2 linked regions of the Macaca mulatta genome follow. Each later gene encodes a partner of the first gene's protein in a complex. Links are inferred from orthologs where the notes say so. Each region holds a gene or a part of one and is shown on either strand. Other genes may lie near its edges. The genes, in order: SLF2 and SIMC1.

The links.
Region 2: the proteins of SLF2 (region 1) and SIMC1 are in contact, whole or in part, in a cryo-EM structure (PDB 7T5P), measured with the Homo sapiens proteins. The link is inferred for Macaca mulatta from reciprocal best matches to the Homo sapiens genes SLF2 and SIMC1. Residues at the interface, in NP_060591.3 of Homo sapiens: His738, Val772, Leu775, Lys778, Asp783, Phe786, Gln790, Gly791, Phe792, Thr794, Ser795, Ala796, Tyr797, His798, Tyr799, Cys820, Ile821, Gln825, Ser828, Met831, Glu832, Ile835, Arg836, Asp838, Thr839, Ser841, Asp842, Ser843, Pro847, Lys919; in NP_001295125.1 of Homo sapiens: Tyr426, Arg428, Leu431, Lys435, Leu438, Pro440, Val442, His443, His444, Leu445, Phe447, Gln448, Arg470, Arg471, Phe490, Asp493, Pro497, Val521, Asp522, Lys525, Glu526, Tyr528, Met529, Met532, Lys533, Gln536, Leu537, Arg571, Asn658, Gln661.

Annotation. Positions count from the first base shown.
Region 1 is NC_133414.1:112,989,184-112,993,001, forward strand, and holds part of SLF2 (SMC5-SMC6 complex localization factor protein 2), read left to right. Parts: intron 1-2,152; coding exon 2,153-2,275; intron 2,276-2,670; coding exon 2,671-2,838; intron 2,839-3,818. UniProt on the Homo sapiens protein: Plays a role in the DNA damage response (DDR) pathway by regulating postreplication repair of UV-damaged DNA and genomic stability maintenance.
Region 2 is NC_133411.1:185,181,016-185,184,933, forward strand, and holds the start of SIMC1 (SUMO-interacting motif-containing protein 1), read left to right. Parts: upstream 1-1,100; 5' UTR 1,101-1,191; coding exon 1,192-1,320; intron 1,321-3,918.

The sequences.
Region 1 (3,818 bases):
TTTTGTGTTTTTTTTAATGGAAAATACATATAAAATTTACCATTTTAACCATTTTTACATGTACAGTTCAGTGTACATGTAAAAATTAAGTACATTTATATGTTGTGCAACCATTACCACCATCTAGCTTCAGAACTTTTTCATTGTTCCAAACTGAAACTCCATATCCATTAAACAATAACTCCCCATTCTCCCCTTCCTCCCACCCTCAGCAACTACCCTTCTACTTTGTCTCTATGAAATTGACTGTTTTAGGTACCTCATGTAAGTGATATTATATTTGTCCTTTTATGACTGTCTTATTTCATTTAGGGCAGTGTCTTCAGAATTCATTCATATTGTAGCATGTGTCAGAATTTCCATTCTTTTTAAAGCTGATAATTCCATTGTATTATGTCTATAACACATTTTCTTTAGTCATCTGTCAGTGGACCTTTGGATTGCTTTTACTTTTTGGCTACTGTGAATAATGCTGCTATGAACATGGGTATACAAATCTCTCTTCAGGTCTCTCCTTTAAATTCTGTTGGGCATATATACACATAAGTGGACTTACTGGATTATATGGTAATTCCATTTAATTTTTTGAGGTACCGCCACACTGTTTTCCACAATGGCTGCACCATTGCACATCTGCACCAACAGTGAACAAGGGTTCCAGTTTCTCCACATCTTTGCCAACACATTATTTTTTTCTATGTTTTTTGTTTGTTTGTTTTGATAATAGCCATCCTAATAGTAAAGTGGTATCTCCTTATTGTTTGGTTTGCCTTCCCTAATGACTAATGATGTTAACATATTTTCATGTGCTTATTGGCCATTTGTTATACAAGTGGAGAAATGTCTTTTCAGGTTCTTTGCCTGTTTTTAATTGGGTTGTTTGGTGGGTGGGGGGGTTCACACAGGTAGAATTTTCTGAAATATTTCTATCAAGTTACTCTTTTGAGGAAAAAGTTTAGAATGATGATGGACACCGCTCTCCCCACACTGCCCGCCCACCACACACACACATGAGAGAGAGATCAAAAAGTTGAGAATCATAATGATCTTAATGAAATTTATGTGACTAATTATGGACAGGTTTTGCTAGTAAGAGGGGAAAAATATATTCCTTGTTAATTCAAGGAATGTCCTTGAACATACCCTGGAGAACTTCACTAACATCTTAGCTGACTTGATTACATAGAAGTTGGTATGTGCTACATATCTCAAATTTGATAACCAAGTAACTAACTTTAGGAATTTTTCAGATGATTAGTAGTTCAAAAGCTTCCTCCTTTCTGAATTTAATTAGAGAACTTGTCTGTATTGTAAAATTCTTTAAATATTTCATGAATTCTTGTGATCTGTGATATGGAATCTGAAGTTCCTCCTTTAAAATCGAGCACTTCACAAATGAAAGATAGGGGTACTAGTTTAATCAAATGATTGACCCTTTTCTGTAACGATAGAACAGTACATTTACTAGTTATTTACTCTTCAGCTGTACTTATCCACTGTTTGTGGCTGGGGTAAGAACCTTGTTTAAAATAACTTAATCTGGGAGAGGCAGTATAAGCAAGGACTCTGGAGCTAGACTCTCTGGCTATGAATCCCACATTCTTGCATTACAAGCTCTTGCAAGTTACTTTGCTTTTCTAATGTCAGTTTTCTTATCTATAAAAGGTGTATAAACTACTACATGGGGTTGTTGTGAGGGTTAAAAGAATTAATATGTAAAGCCCTTAGTACAGTGCCTGTCACATATTAAGTGCTTGGTAAGTGTTAGGTGTTGTGATGATGATGACAGTGACAACTACTGCTAGAAAGCCTAGTTAACTTACCAGGGTTTTTTTCCCATTCTGTAAGTGGTTTGGACAGATCATTCTTGAAGTTCTAGCTTTATGGAAATCCTCAAGTCTTTTATGCAATGGAACACTATTCTAATGCCACACTGGTAACTGGGTAAAAACCTAGCACCTAAAATATATCTGTTTTCATGAAAATTGTACATCATGATGTATTTGGGAGACATAATTTGACCTATAGTATAACAAAATTTGTCATATACCAGGGTACTTAATAAGGGTTTTCTTTGTGCTGCTTTTAGATATAAACTGAAGACTGTTTTTTAATATTCTTAAACTGTTATAACATTCTTTCCAATTCTCAGGCTAGATGAACTGCAGAAGCAACTACAAGAAGACATAAGGCAAGGCCGAGGCATTAAATCCCCAATCAGAATTGGAGAAGAAGACAGTACAGATGATGAGGATGGCCTCTTAGAAGAGCACAGGTATAGCATTTTTCATAATGTATTTTACCCTATTAAAGTTTTTACATTTTGTTTTGTTTTGTTTTTGTAAAATAAATGGGCCATCGATGGCTGTTAGTGAATAATTTATGATAGGTTTCTAATCTGTCTGTGATGGGTTTGAAAGGCAAATGTTAGGATCAAGTTTCATCTTTTATTTTTCTTCCTGGTTATTTCTTTTCACGTAGACACATTTAGTGGCTTTTGACTAACAGCTACAAAAAGTGGAAGAAGCAAAGCATACTTTTCTCATGCTAGTCTTCTAATTTGGGATTAACATTGGTTTAAAAAATAGTTTTCTTTGCACCCAACTTTTAAATACAAAAGTATATGTAGTGTAACAATTTGGTATTGATTGACTTGTTTTTATGTTTCAGGGAATTTCTAAAGAAATTTTCAGTTACAATTGATGCTATTCCTGATCATCATCCAGGTGAAGAAATATTTAATTTCCTCAATTCTGGAAAAATTTTCAATCAGTATACCTTGGATTTAAGAGACTCTGGTTTTATTGGACAAAGTGCTGTAGAAAAACTTATTCTTAAGTAAGTAGAAAAATAGACATTTTACTTTTATATGTATAAAAAATTACTCTAAAACACTTCTGACTTATATAATCTTCTAAAAGGTTAATTTCTATTATGACCTATTAAGTTTCCTAATCCTCTTATTACTAGTGATCTTTATGTTTTTTTCTTTAATTATAGGAAGCAGTGTAGGATAGTTGTTTGACACATCGCATGCCTTTATTAATTAGGATTGAGATCAGTATATAATAACAGTGACTGTCAAAATAATAGTGGTTTAAACAAGAAGTGTATTTGAAAGAAGTATAAAAGTAGCAAGTCCAGGGCTGGAGTGCCAGTTTTACCATATAATCTTTCTTCTCCAGCATTCTTAGCACCTAGCTTCGGGTGCTATTAGAGCTCCATCCTTTAGTTCAAATTCCCAGAAATTCCACACAGCATTTCCACACACTCTAAGTTAGTTGAATAGAACTTAGTCAATATGGCCACACTTGGCCACAAGGGAAGCCAGAGAGTGATGTTTATTTCAGGCAGCTAGTGTTCGCAGCTACAAATCAGGGTTCAGTTACCAAGAAGAGAGGGAAAAATAGATGCTGGGATGTGCAGCTAGTAATCTCCACCACAATGCCCAAACTGATCTAATTTCTCTCAGTGCATGATATCTCAGCTCTAGAGAGATCACATCAGTTTTGCTGCCAATTTTTTAAAGTACTTCCCCAGTCTGAGACTTGATAGGCTGTCTCTCAACACTACCAGCAAATATAGCTTTGTCTACCAGTTAAATATGGAGCCTAGCCAACAGATTGGATCAGCTTTAGGCCATCAATTCAATTTATTTTATGAGTAACTCATCCATATTTGTGTAGAGTCCACCTCCATGGACTGAAGACGATTTGCTTGCTCATTTCTCTGATTATGTCAGATGTGATGGTGGTGGTGGTGATAGTAGAAGTATTTTGCCATGAAGTTAATAGTCATGTTGATTTTACTTTATTTTT
Region 2 (3,918 bases), on another chromosome or scaffold:
TGTTGGAGCCTGAGCAGCAGAATTTTGTCAATACCCCACATTTAGTGTACCAATAGGTCCTATCTTGATTTTAATGGTCCTGCCCTACAAGCAGCCAACTACCCACCGATTCCTCCACTAGTGACAACCTTTTTCACCTTTATAACTTCTGCTATTCACAACGTCTAATTATTCGTGGCCTCTGCTGCTTCATGGCTTCTTTTGTGCACCTTTTCAGCTTCTGATCCTCATACCAACTGAACAACTGTCTACGCCAAGCTTGTTTAACCCCTTGCCTGAGTCGCAAGCGGCCCATTAAAACATTATGAGATTCCCCCCCGCCGCAACTCTTTTCCTTTAGGTCATCAGCTATCATTAGTGTATTTTATGTATGGCCCAAGGCAATTCTTCTTCCCGGGGAAGCCAAAAGATGGGACACTCCTGCTCTAAATCTCAGTTTAAACTCCTGAGAGACACATATTGTTAGTGAAACCGCAAAACTGGTACAATTTAGGAGGATAATTTGGCATCATTTATCAAAACTACAAAAACATGGCATTTGCACCAGTAAGTCCACTTTCAGGCATTTATCCTACAGATGCACTTGCGCATCTGCACCAAAAAGTGGGGTCTGTCTCCCCTAGCTCGGCCAGAAGCCAGGTCACCCACCCTCCGTCACTCGGGGGCCAGGACTCCTCTCCCTGCCCCCTCAGTCAAGGCCCTCTCGGTCCGGAAGGAGCTTCACACCTGGGCTAGGTTGGGGCTGGGCGCGCCTCACGTCAGTTGGAAGCAGGTGGGGAAGTCCCCGCGGCCTCGGGGTCTCGTACGCCTGCCCCCAACACCGGCCGAAGCCAGTGGCGACTCCATTTTTCTTTTTTCTTTCTCTCTCTCCTGGGGAAGGGAGGACCCGCGCCGCCGCGAAGCACAGCGACCCCGGCCCTGACCCCAGCCGCCCGCCGCCGGTGGGCGGGGCTTGGCAGCCCAGCGGGGCGGGGAGGGGCGGGGCTCGGGGCGGGGAGGGGCGGGGCTCGGGGCGGGGAGGGGCGGGGCTCGGGGCGGGGAGGGGCGGGGTTCGGGGCGGGGCCGGCGTGGTGATGGCCCGGGTTGTCGCTGCCGCCGCCACCTCAGAAGCAGGAACCGAAGTCGCCGCCGCCGCTGCCGCTGCCTGGGTCGCCGGCCGCCCGCGCGCTGGCTCGGTCGGGGCCCGCAGCCATGGAGGACTTCATCGTGATCTCCGACGACAGCGGCTCCGAGAGCTCCGGGGGCGCCCGCCCGGGCCGGTCGCGGAGGCTGCGCCGGGCCCTGTCGCGGACCCCCGGCGCCCTGCCCCGCCGGACCGTGGTGAGTGAGCGTCGCCTAGTCTGGGGGCGCGCGTCTTCGCAACCCTCTGCTGGGCCCGCCGCCCCCTTCCCACCCCCTTGCTCCTCACAGCTGCAGCCACTTCCCGCCTTACCTCCTTCCGGGCCTCTCGGGCCCCGGGGAGCGCGGCGGGCCGGGGCAGGGACACGGGCGGCCGGGCCTCCCGGGCTCAACGCTGAAGCCCGAGAGGACTGCGGCTGGAAAGCGGGCGAGCACATGGACGAGCTCCTGGCGCGCCTGCTGCAGGGGCCGGGGTCTCAGGCCGGGGCCGCGGGCGTCCTCAGAGCCTCGGCGGGACGTGGGGGCTCGAGTGTACTGGCCCTGGCTGAGGCAGGAAAGCGGGAGCCCGTAATTGTTGGGCCTGTGGTGGGCACAGATGCGTGCAGGGAGGTAACAGGAGCCCAGGCTGGGAGGGAGAGAAGCGCGGGCCTGGGCCAGATGGTGGCCGCGCTCCAGGGCCTGACTGCAGAGCGAGGGGCCCGATTTTGAAGTTGTGCAGAAGGGCGATTTATTTCCTCAGCAAGCAATTACCCCGTACCAAGCCCTGAAGGAACAGAGAAGGAAACCTCGCGCACTATTTCTGCTTCCCCCAGAACCCTTTCATTTTTCTCATTCATGAGGTGGTGAATTATCTGCCTTTGGAGAATCCTGCATAGATGTTGATTGAATCCCTACTACGGACCGATGTTGCAGGGGCTGGGGCTACAACGGCGAACACAACATCCATGGTCCCCTCATAAGGTGATACATTCATCAGGTGGTTACTGAGGACCTTCTCAAGGGGTGGGAGGTGGAGCTTTTCTCTCAGAAGGCTTCCAGCGATCTCCCCAGCCTCCCAGAGCCGTCCCCCGGAAACACAAGGATTATCAAGCTGATGTTATGTGTATAGATCATACAGTTTACCATGCTTCCTATGCAAATACTCCTTCAAGACGTTTCCTAGCTTCTGCGGCCCCTGTTCCCTTTCCAGCTAGTTTACAGTCCCTAAACCTCCATTGGGTTTCTGTGCCCGAGGTACAGTGCCAAGTGCTAGACGATCACTATAGAATGAATAGCGTACAAAACTAGTTAATATATTTTTCAAAATATATTAACTAGTTAATTATTTTTCAAGCAAGAGGGATTCTCAGTACGTCTTAGTAACAAATTTAGTTGAGTTAGGCAGCTCATGAAGTAGTCAGAAGAGATTTCCAAGACAGAAATGACCCGACTTCATGAGTGAATGGGTATATCTAGGGCTGTCGCTGAATGTAGCGGACATAATGATGCACAATAAATATTTGTTGGATGAAGGAACGATTGAAAGAATATGGGGAGAGAGAATGGGTTAGATGGATGTTTGACAAGTATAAGAGAAGTGCATATAAAAGTAGCAGCAGGCTTGGGATGAAGGAGATGCTGAATTCAGGTGGGACCTGTTGGATTTACAGTGTTAATAGGAAATGTAGATGGATGTGGCCAGCTCAGTAGTTGGAGAAAAGGCAAGAGTGGAGATATTTGGAAGTCATGCAAACAGAAAGGAGTATTGAAGGCCTAATAGTGACTGAGATCATCAAGGAAAAGAGTAGAGAGAGAAAAGGTGGAAGGAAAAAAATACTGCTTTCCTCCTAGTTCTTCCTCATTCCTCTAGCCCCTTCTCTCAGTACCTGTTTAACTTTGTCCTTCTCACTTGCTTCCTTTCCTCCCAAGTGTTGTCCATTTTCCCTCGTTCTGGTCCAGCTTCTCTCTTCAGTGGTCGGATGCCATCGTTATCCTAGTCTTTTGTGGTCTTTCACACACGTACATGGGTGTGCTCTCTCACTGTTCCTCTCCCTTGTGACCACTCAAGCAAGCATTTTGATCTGGAGCCTTTGAGTTGAATCGAAATGAAGGGCACGTTCCAGAGAGCAGTACCCAATTTAAATCATGCTTCTCCAGATACTTATTCCAGCTCTCTAAAAGTTCCAAGCTTATTCTTGTTTTATCTTTTTTGCAAGTTAGATAAGGGTGGTATGATAACCATGTAAAAGATCAGAGGCATTGAGAGACTTACAAGGTTATAAAGTCTACAAGTGCCCTTTTTTCTGTAGCTTTTCCTGACGGCTCTGAGGTCAGAGAGGCTTCTGAATCAATATCTCCAACATAGCATAACTCAAACTCAACTATTTGAGTTTTGGAAAGTTCTGTCAGCTCTCAGCTTTTGAGCCTGAGAACATTAATGCTTACCTAGCAGGATGGTTTTAAATTTTTAATGAGACAAATGCAAGGAAAGGGTCTCATATAAATGATAGCTTTTGCCACTTTTTGTGTTGTTTCTAAGCCCAGGCCTGTCCCTCTTGAGCTTCACAGGCAGTGAGATAAAAGAAGCAACTTTCACATCTTTCTTTTTTTTTTTTTTTTAAATAAATATTGACTAAGGGAAAGTAACTTGCTTGAACTTAAGAAAGCCATATCTAATAATGAAGTTGACATTTCTGAACTCTTTATTCTTAACCCGGGCTTTAGTCTTCACTTAGTTGATGAGGTGTGTTTCTGTGTTTATTGTGGCTTTTTAGTTTGGGGGTTTTTGGTTTTTTACTTATAAAAGCAGAATATTTTCAG